Drosophila melanogaster: one gene and its partner. The protein of the gene in region 2 interacts with the protein of the main gene of each other region in a pairwise test. Each region holds a gene or a part of one and is shown on either strand. Other genes may lie near its edges. The genes, in order: CG3517 and Pfrx.

What was found.
Region 1: the proteins of Pfrx (region 2) and CG3517 interact in a two-hybrid assay, tested with the Drosophila melanogaster proteins (one large-scale study listed by BioGRID).

Annotation. Positions count from the first base shown.
Region 1 is NT_033777.3:19,423,188-19,427,164, forward strand, and holds CG3517 (uncharacterized protein), read right to left. Parts: upstream 2,013-3,977; 5' UTR 1,871-2,012; coding exon 722-1,870; 3' UTR 592-721; downstream 1-591.
Region 2 is NC_004354.4:19,496,248-19,501,544, reverse strand, and holds the start of Pfrx (6-phosphofructo-2-kinase), read right to left. Parts: upstream 3,173-5,297; 5' UTR 2,771-3,172; coding exon 2,665-2,770; intron 1-2,664.

The DNA of each region.
Region 1 (3,977 bases), on a different chromosome or scaffold from region 2:
CACTTTTCCAGCTCAAAGAGAGGTGTTCTCCTAGGTGGGTTGCTCAGCCGCAAGTGCTGTGATGAAGTGCGCCCGAGTTATCGTCGGGCCGAGCTGCTGCATAAGCCAGATTAAATGTATTTTCCATTACTGTTGCATGCCACTTTCGGCCAAAGTAGACACAGACACCAACACAGGTCACAGCTCTTCGCAGCCGGTTTAGTTTTCCAAGTGGCCAAGAGTGTGAGTGGGCCAAATGGATGCGGCCGTGTTTGTTCGAGCTAGGTGTGTGTGTCCCCTAAGAGCAAACTCAATTTTCCGTCTTAATATAAGGCAGTTGATATGACCTCCTCACTTCCCCTTATTTTCGAGCCATTACTTTGGGTAATTAAAAGTGAAGTTGGTGGAATTTAACCAGATTCAATTGAATGAACTTCTGATTTTAAACCTTTTATTAAACATTTGAGCTACCTTAGGTCTGGCAGTAATTTTGTTTAAGAGCTATACTTCTTCGAAAAATTTACTTTTGAAAGGCTCTTAATCCTTTAATGATACCATGGCTATGTGGAACGAAAATAAAAGAAACCTTGTTTACAGAAAAGTACATAAACTAGCTTGAGTACAACTTTAATGATAAATTGTTGAAGAACAGCTGGAACTGAAAATTTTGAGAACTGCTTTCCTCAAGAGTAAAGTAAAATTTAGAAATCTAGCAAGCGCCGATTCGCAGGATCCTTCAAACTTAGGTCTCGCCCTCACCCTCGGTGATCGACGGCTGTTTGGTGGCCAGTGGAGAACCGTTTCCTTCATCCGGTATAGTGGGCACCGTTTTGCCGCCGAGGGCGAGGAGAGCCTCCGGCGACATTTCCTGGTGGGCTTCCTCCTCCTCCTCGCCCTCGCCCTCATCGAGCAGCTTCTCCTCAGGCTCCGGCGGCAGCCAGCAGGTTCCCTTGACCAGGCGGTCCTCGATTTCGGCGATCTCGTTCTTGTAGTACTGATTGAAGTCCGGCCGCTCCCATATGCTCTTGACCCACTGCAAGTTGAAGTCCATTTTGGTGCAGCAGCAGAACTTGCGCGACTTGTGGCACTTGGGGCACTTGGCCGGCTGGCGAGCAGGGTGTGTGTACTGCTGCTTCTGCTTCTTCTTGCAGCAATATGGACACACGTGCTTGGGCTTCTTTTTGTTGGAAGTGCAGGGAGTCGGTTCCTTGGCATAGACCAGATGTCCCCGCTTCTTGGCACAGAAGCAGCAGTTGCAATCGTCGCCCTCCGGCTGCCTCTTGCGCGTCTGCATGCGATCGTAGAACTTCTTGAAGGCTATTTTGATCTTGGCCTCGTATGCCAACTGTTCGGCGCAGGAGAGGCCATCGAAGCGGGCATAGGACTCGGCTGACTTCCTGGCTGCGTGGACCCAGACGCATTCATCGTTGTACGAGGGTCTGCCTTGCTCATCGTAGGTCAAGTCCACTTTCGGCTCGTAGTAGAAGGCCTTGAATCCCCTCTTGATGATGGCATAGGCCAAGTGGGCCTCCACCTTGTTCATCAGCGACTTCTTGCCCAGCTCGTGGAACAAATCCTCCTTTCTCAGTCGCTTCTTGGGCGTGGTATCAATGCAATAGCACACCTGATCGTAATGCAAGAAGGCATATGTGATAATGTCCACGGTTGATTTCGCTTTGCACTCGTGCAGTCCACAGATGATCATCACCTGGGCCAAAGTGTTGGCCAGGTCCAGGACATTTTCTAGGAAAATCGATGAGGCATTTACCTCGCCCAAGCACTTGCACTGGGTGTGCTGATCGATTATGCCCAAAGGAGCATGCCTCTGGCACTCCTTGTGCTGGCAATTATTCCGGCATCGGAAATCGGGCATCGCATGATGGGCCTGCATCGCGAATCGGTCTTACCTCTATTTTGATGCTGTTCGCTACTCCTTGCAGCATGAACAATTTTCGAATTTTTTACCTAAAAGTTTTTTTCTAACTAGTTGATAAAACGAGACAAGCCAAATGAATGTTATGGGCGAATGTTCGCCTGACAGGATTTAAAATGATCAATTGCTGCTAGATTTCGAGTTTTTCCCATTTGGTAAACTAAAACGGGAATGGAATATTTCGTTTTTTTTAAAAATAACCACAAGTGCGAAATACAATTGTTGCAATAAATCAAACTACATCCGCAGTACATTTTCATTTGTAAGTCTCTTAACAATCAAATGCTTTTCCGTTTATCAGAGAATAAAATATTCACTATTTTTGTTTGGAAAGATTGTCGTACTGTAAAGGTATGAAAACATACAACATTTTATAAAACCAAGTTTTTCTTGGCCAAATTGTGTTTCTATTCCCAAAATAAACACAAGTGTCAGATAACAAGGCAAAGCCTCAGGATTTTCTCCAAATTTGGTTACTTTCTTGGCTTTTCATGTTGTCGGGGGCTAAGCGGCATTTGATACGGCATAGATTGTTTGAGTTGTGTTTTCGTTTGTTTGCCCATTCCTTGTAGACACACGTATAAGTTTCGATGGGTCAAATATTTGTTAAGCCAACAGTGGAAATTTTCAGGCAGCCGCCAAGTAGGCGACGCGACATTTCATTTCTCTTTTTGCGGCCTTCGTAATGGATGTCCTTTTTTTTTTTTTGGGCGGGATACATTCGTAATTGTTGATGACGGCATTGAGTCAGTTTATGATTCATTGGGGAGTGAGAAATGCGTCTGGCAGTGGCATAAATAAAGTACGACATCCTGAGCTCGTTCCCAAGGGAAACGTCAGCGTAAATACATCAAAGAATTTATTAGACAAGCTTTGCCATATCCGTTTCCTGTTGACAAATGTCACGGGAACCGAAGAGTCATCTAATAACATTTATTCTAATGGAAAAGGCGAACGGAAAAAAATCGCTGACGAATGTAAATCTTCATTTGCTCAATGTCCTTCCAACTTGACCCCTTGCATATCAGGGAACTTTTTGGCCATAAGTGTAAGAAAACTGGCTTTAATCGCAGAGCACAAAAGCCCCATAATCTGTCGCAGACAAAAAAAAAAAAAAGGGAGAAAAGTCGTTACAACTTTGTTTAACTCATAATGAAATAGCAGCGCGGTGCGGTCCTGAAGATGAGCGATTTCAATCCACAACCTTCGGGCTCTTGTTTCTTTTTTCTTTAGGCTAAAATGCAACTACGTAACTCATAAAACTTGAGCAATCGCGCATAAATCTTGGCCAGACAAAATGGCCAACTGTTGTTGCCGGGGCCTTATCGGCCGGACTTCGTTAGCCGGCAATTTTTCTTGGAAAATGGAAAAGCGACCCACAAGAAATTCATATTCGTTTCTCTAACAATAAAAGTTGACAGCATGGAACGGACACGTGGCGATGGTCAGGCGGCAATAGGAGTACCTGTCTGCCGTATAAAGTTACAATCGAAACCATTTTTCCGAGCAGAAATAAAATACCTCTGGAAATTGTTTTATGTACAGCAAATGGCACGAAATGTATCTGTAGAGATTTATGCAAAACACCGATTATGTAATATTTTTTAAGGTTTCGTTTAATCGATTGATATTAGATATATTTTAATGTTGAAGATATATGCCAACCATTTTAAAAGTAATAAACTTTGAACTCTGCTTAAATTGTTACAGAACAAAAATAAGTTTGGCAAAATATCATAACGGTTGCCATATGATTAATATATATTTTATCCTGAAGTGCGAATTTGTTTGCAGGATGATAAACACTTGTTTTAAACCAATTTTAAGGCGTCGTTCACACTCTGTTAAACTTTTCCACAGATCTGGTCTGTAAATAATCCAGCTTTAAAAATATCAATCAACTGAATTTCGGGACCATCTGAGTGTAAGCCCAGCTAACCCACATTTATAACCGCTTAGACTGTGGCACGTACCTAAAATTAGTGCCTCGTCGCCACAAATACACACTCGCATGTAACGTCCACGTCATTCGCATAAAACCCTTTAATGGTTATGCAGGCACCAA
Region 2 (5,297 bases):
ATCTCGCCCAACTGTCGGTGGTCCCTATCGGAACCACCGAAAATAACGCTCAACAGCAATAACAACATTTTCAGCGGCATGAAAGTCCGGCCGGACAGGGCCTGATAAGACTGATAATGGCACATTGCAGAACGGAACGGCGACTCAACTAAATGAACTGATGAGCGAAGGGAAGGGAGCAGAGAAGTCCATCGGCGTATGATGGCGGTGTTTAATACCGATTATGGTCGCCTCGTCGGTTATCAGCGGGCCAGAGCTATGGCCAGAGCCATAGATCACTGCCACATTTGGATAGCGGCAGAGTTCATAAACGCCTCCATCATCCATCGCCTCCCCGAACAGGCGCCTTTTATCGCTCCTCCAGGTGGCAATTTACGATGCACGGCACGGTGTTCACGTGAGTTGCGAGTGAGTGGTGCTGCTGCCGATGGCGATGCTGCGTGGGTGGATGCTAAATTGGGTCTGCCAAGCGGCAAATGCAAAACTTTCCACCTCACTGGCGAAAAGAAACAAACACTGTTGCCACTCGATATCTAGCCTCTGCCTCTGACTCAGCCGCATTGAGTCATTACAGCCCCTTTTGCGGAACCATTTTACCATTATATACATATGTACATATGTGCGACATCAAAGCCCTCTGCCCTCCGTCCATTTCGTATCATCAGTTGAAAGATCGGGAGTTTTCTGTAACTTGCTATATCTACGCTTTACAGAAACAGTGAGCCCTTGATATGAGTGCAAAAAAAAATCTATACAATGTTCATGCACTCTTTAAGATTCTTCATCGTTTTTGGTTCTGATTATTTGTAAGCTTCTTTTAAATTTCAACTTAGCATCCCTTAGTTTGCAGAGTATGCTGATTAGGTAAATGATTTCACGTATTTGCGAATCATATAGACATCTGTATTCACAAAAAAAAAACGAAAAAAAACGATCATTCTATGGCAGACATAGTTCACTTGAATTGATTTTCGCACTATAATAGTTTAACTTTGCTCAACCGGCAATGTTTGCACATATGTTTGTTTTCATCATTTAACAACTGCGATTCCATCTAAAAATCAATTAGAAACTACCCAAAGACGTTTGACTTGATCGCAAAAGGGTTATAAGTGGGCGCAACCCCATAATACCGATCAGACCACCTGACCCGGGTTCTAATTGCGTTTCGCGAATAGCTCCAATGGGACTCGTGACCACCTTGCTTTCATTTCCCATTGTAGTAGGGTGGAGCATTTGGCCAGTTCGAGCAATGGTATGTGTCATAGTTATTGTCTAGTTTCGATATTACAACTTTACGCCCCTCATTAAACAATTTTTAATTTTAGAAAGCAAACAAAAAAGAATAGTGCTCTTCGCTTTTGACATTCTAGACTTCAGCTTATATGAATCAATTTTACAAATACATGACAAATTACATGACAATATTGTTTTGGATTTTTCAATGCAGTGCAATTTCTATAGATTAAGTGCAGCATGCAGCACACTTCTGAATACCGAATGCAGCTAAAAGTTTTCTGTAGTTCAACTATTTAATATGGAGACACCCTGTGTGTGTGTGTGTGGGATTCACTTTTCACCGCTGTAGGCACATAGATAAGCCCCAACTTTCGGTTTCAATGCCATGTGCTGCACTGGGCTCAAAAGGGATTGGGCTCTAAGCACCGAAGCCTAGGCTCCTATCCGTGGAACACATGTGTCATGTGACTGGTAGTAGTAGTCCGTCGATATCCGAAGTTCGGCAGGGCACTGAACTGAAATTGAAGCCGTAGACAGCTTCCGATCAGCAAGGTGATATTCGCTGGGCCCCACCAGACACAAACAAACAAACAAACAAACAGGAATTATAAATAACGGACCCTCAAGGCCGCCGGAGGGGCGGAAAAGGGGTGCAAAGCGGGTGGGAATGGGGTGGCTTGTGCAAAGCGGTCAGGTGATACGGATAGCAAGTGAAAAAATGACCAAATCACAGCGATTCCTCGGTGCCTCTGTCGTATGTGCTGCTGTGTTCTGGCTTATTTTTCCGGTTCCCCAAAGAAAAGCGAGAAAAATGGAATGATAGAAAATGAAGGCGACCGACGACGGCGACGACTACGTGGTGTTGCATATAGCAAAAGCCAGAAAACTTGAAAACTAGCAGTCGTAACAACAATAACAAAGGCGGCAGATAGGAAATTCACAAAAATTAGCAAAAATAGCAAAATGCCAGAATACACTTGAAAATAAAAACAAACAAAGCGTTTCACTGCTTCAGATTCTCATTCTTCATAGGATGCCGATACGACCGCCGATGACGATGATGACGAGTGGGGATGGCGATAATGACGCCAAAATGAGAAGGGAGCCAAGCGCCGCATAAACAAACGACGTAAATGGCAATGCTGCGTGTAATCCCCACAATAGAAAACCCATAGAGAGAGATAGAGAGAGAGAGAAAGAGTGGATGCCCAAGAATAGGCACTCTACTCCCCACACTCCCCACTCTGTGCTATCGTCGCTGTGTTAATGAGCCAAAGAATAACTGCTAATCAAGGTGGTGGTGCCCACAGCCCCGACAACCCAGACAACCCAGACACCCCAAACAACCCAGTCAGCACAAATGGAGTGCAACGTGGGTGAAATGAAGAGACTCTGGCGGGAATCTACACTAAATAGTATACGTACACAGGGAGGGGGCCATATCCGGATCCGGATCCGTATCCGTGGTTACCGAGCTGATCAGGGGTTTGTAGCCGGCGTAGAGCGGCGCCGTTGCCGTCGACTGAGCCATTGCCCTGGAATGCAAGCAGTGCAGGCGCGCGCTGAATGCAAGCAGTGTGCAGAGCGCCCGACCACCGACTTCTGGCCACTTTATCACTTAATCACGCGATTTGCTATTTGTTTTGAATCGTTACAAGCCAAAGGTAAACAAAACAGAACGGAAAAAAAAATCACAGATTACTTTTGCTACAACGCTAATTTCTTAGTACGCAAATAATAAAAAAAAAACAAAATAGTTAAAAAAAAAGAACAGAGAAAAAACACACGAATTCTCGTATTTTGACTTGATTTTGACTCGATATTGATGTGGGGGCGCACAGCACACAGAACAGCACAAGAAACGAAAGTACAAAGCGAATCCGCCGAACCGCGTATCAATTCAGTTCGGTTCAGTTCAGTTCCGTACACGTCGCTTGGCAAAATCGAAATGAGCAAAATGCGCAAAGCGGAGCGAGTCAAGTGCGCGGAGCCCCGGACCGCCGTTTGCGAAAGCGATGCGAAACGAAGCGATACGACACGAAACGGCACGCGAGCGATCCGATCCCATACGATCCCCCACGATATGATACCATCCGATCGGATCGCCGAGCGAGTACCAAAAAATCAAACAAAACAGCATAGCCGCAATAGGCGAGCACGGTACGGGGTACGGACCCCGTCGATTCCACCGATGTCGCTGACTCTCGGAATCCGGGAGTCCCGAGTCCGCATCGCTTGGCTATTCCTATGCAGGAATTACGAAAGGTTGCGGTAAATAGCGCAACAGCAGCGGTCGAAAAAACAGCACCCCTACAAAAGAGATCAATCTGATTGGATTTACTGATAATATATTGTACTATGCTATGCCCATTTAAAGTGAAAAGCCAATAAGACAGATTGCAAGAACGTACTTTTCACATCAAATATGTAGTTTAGTTCCAACTTGGCCTAAAAAAGCAAAAAATATATAAATATTCCGTTACACCTATGACAGGGCATTTAAAAGTGTATAAAAGAGATTAAATATTGCACCTCCAAGCCATTACCAAGTTTGCTGGCTTGGCAAATAGCACGATTTGTAACATTGTTTTAATCTTAAAACGCGTGTCATTACACGATAAGCTTTTATTGCACTTCCGTCCCTTACACCTTGAGAAACTATGGCGATCTCTTTGAACAGAGATAGCCGCGTGTGAAACTTTGGTAACTGACAAACGATATGCAATGCATTTAATTAATAACAATAAATTTAAATACGTAATTAAATGGATTAAATATGCATACATATGGTGAATGTGTCAGTGTAATATAATATTTAAAGCCATGCAAAGGAATTGAGGTGGAACGTATTTTAGATGGAATGAGAAGATTTTATTTAAAAATGAAAAATATTCCTCACCCGAAAAATTGTAACATTCTAAGCCATTCTAAGCATATTATTACAACTTTACAAATGTATTATTATAAAAAGTAAGCAATTAAACTAATTGCATTATGGATAAAACTTGATAAAATTAACAGAAAGAGTATATAAACGTCGGCTTATACTTTTGGTAGATTTGCTATTAATTAAATTTTTAACAATTGTTTAATATTCATTCCCATATTTTCCGCCGGTCAAAAGATGATATAAACAACCGATAGTCTAGGTATCGCATAAAGCGTAAGGTGATAAGGGAATGGCAAAAACATCTGTACAAAACGAAAGATGGGCACACAACAAGGGCCGAAAAAGCTTTCACGGCAGCAACAACACTGCGCGGCAGAATGCAACACTGTAAAAGCTGCGCAGCAGAGCAATGGCGGCCTACTGTAAATGTGTGTGTGTGCGCGCGGTGGTGGTGTGTGTGAATGCCTGTGTGGTGGGCCATCGGCCAGCGAGAGAGAGCGAGGGAGATGGAGAAACCACAAAGAGAATCTTTCAGTGTACAGCGGAAAATTCACAAAACAATTGCGTAAATGCTCCTTCATTCATCAACATGATAATCAGCATGAAAAACAAAATATTGCTTGTTTACCGTTTACGAATCGAGGCACACGCAGCGATTACCGACTTTGCTGGAAGAGAAACCGATAACAATAAATGCACCCGATGAATACAGAAGGCAGAGTGGAGCGAAACTAAAAACAAAAATAAAGAGCGCACACTAGAGCGCGACTTTTTTGCATTGCATTGGTGTGTTATCGGTGTCGGTGGCCGCTCTGCGCATGTGCGTAGTGTTTTGGTGTTCGCGGGTGTAGGTCCATGGGTGAATGTGTCATGAAAGCACTGGAAGAGGATATAATAATGCAACTCACCTCCGGTTCGCAGCACTTTAAACCGTAGCACTTTAAAATTGGGGGTGGGGTTAAAAGAGCATATACTGTTTGTATTTTACACTTTTCACTCACGATTTACCGCCCCTCGAGTGGGGCACTCCGATAACTTTGGCGCGGATCTATGCGAGTGGCCGTCACTGTGCTGTTAGCAGCTAACAGTGCTGTAATCGCCGACGTCAACGATACACGCAAGTGCGTGTGTTTGGCGCGCGTGCGGGTGTGTGTGTGTACTTACATAA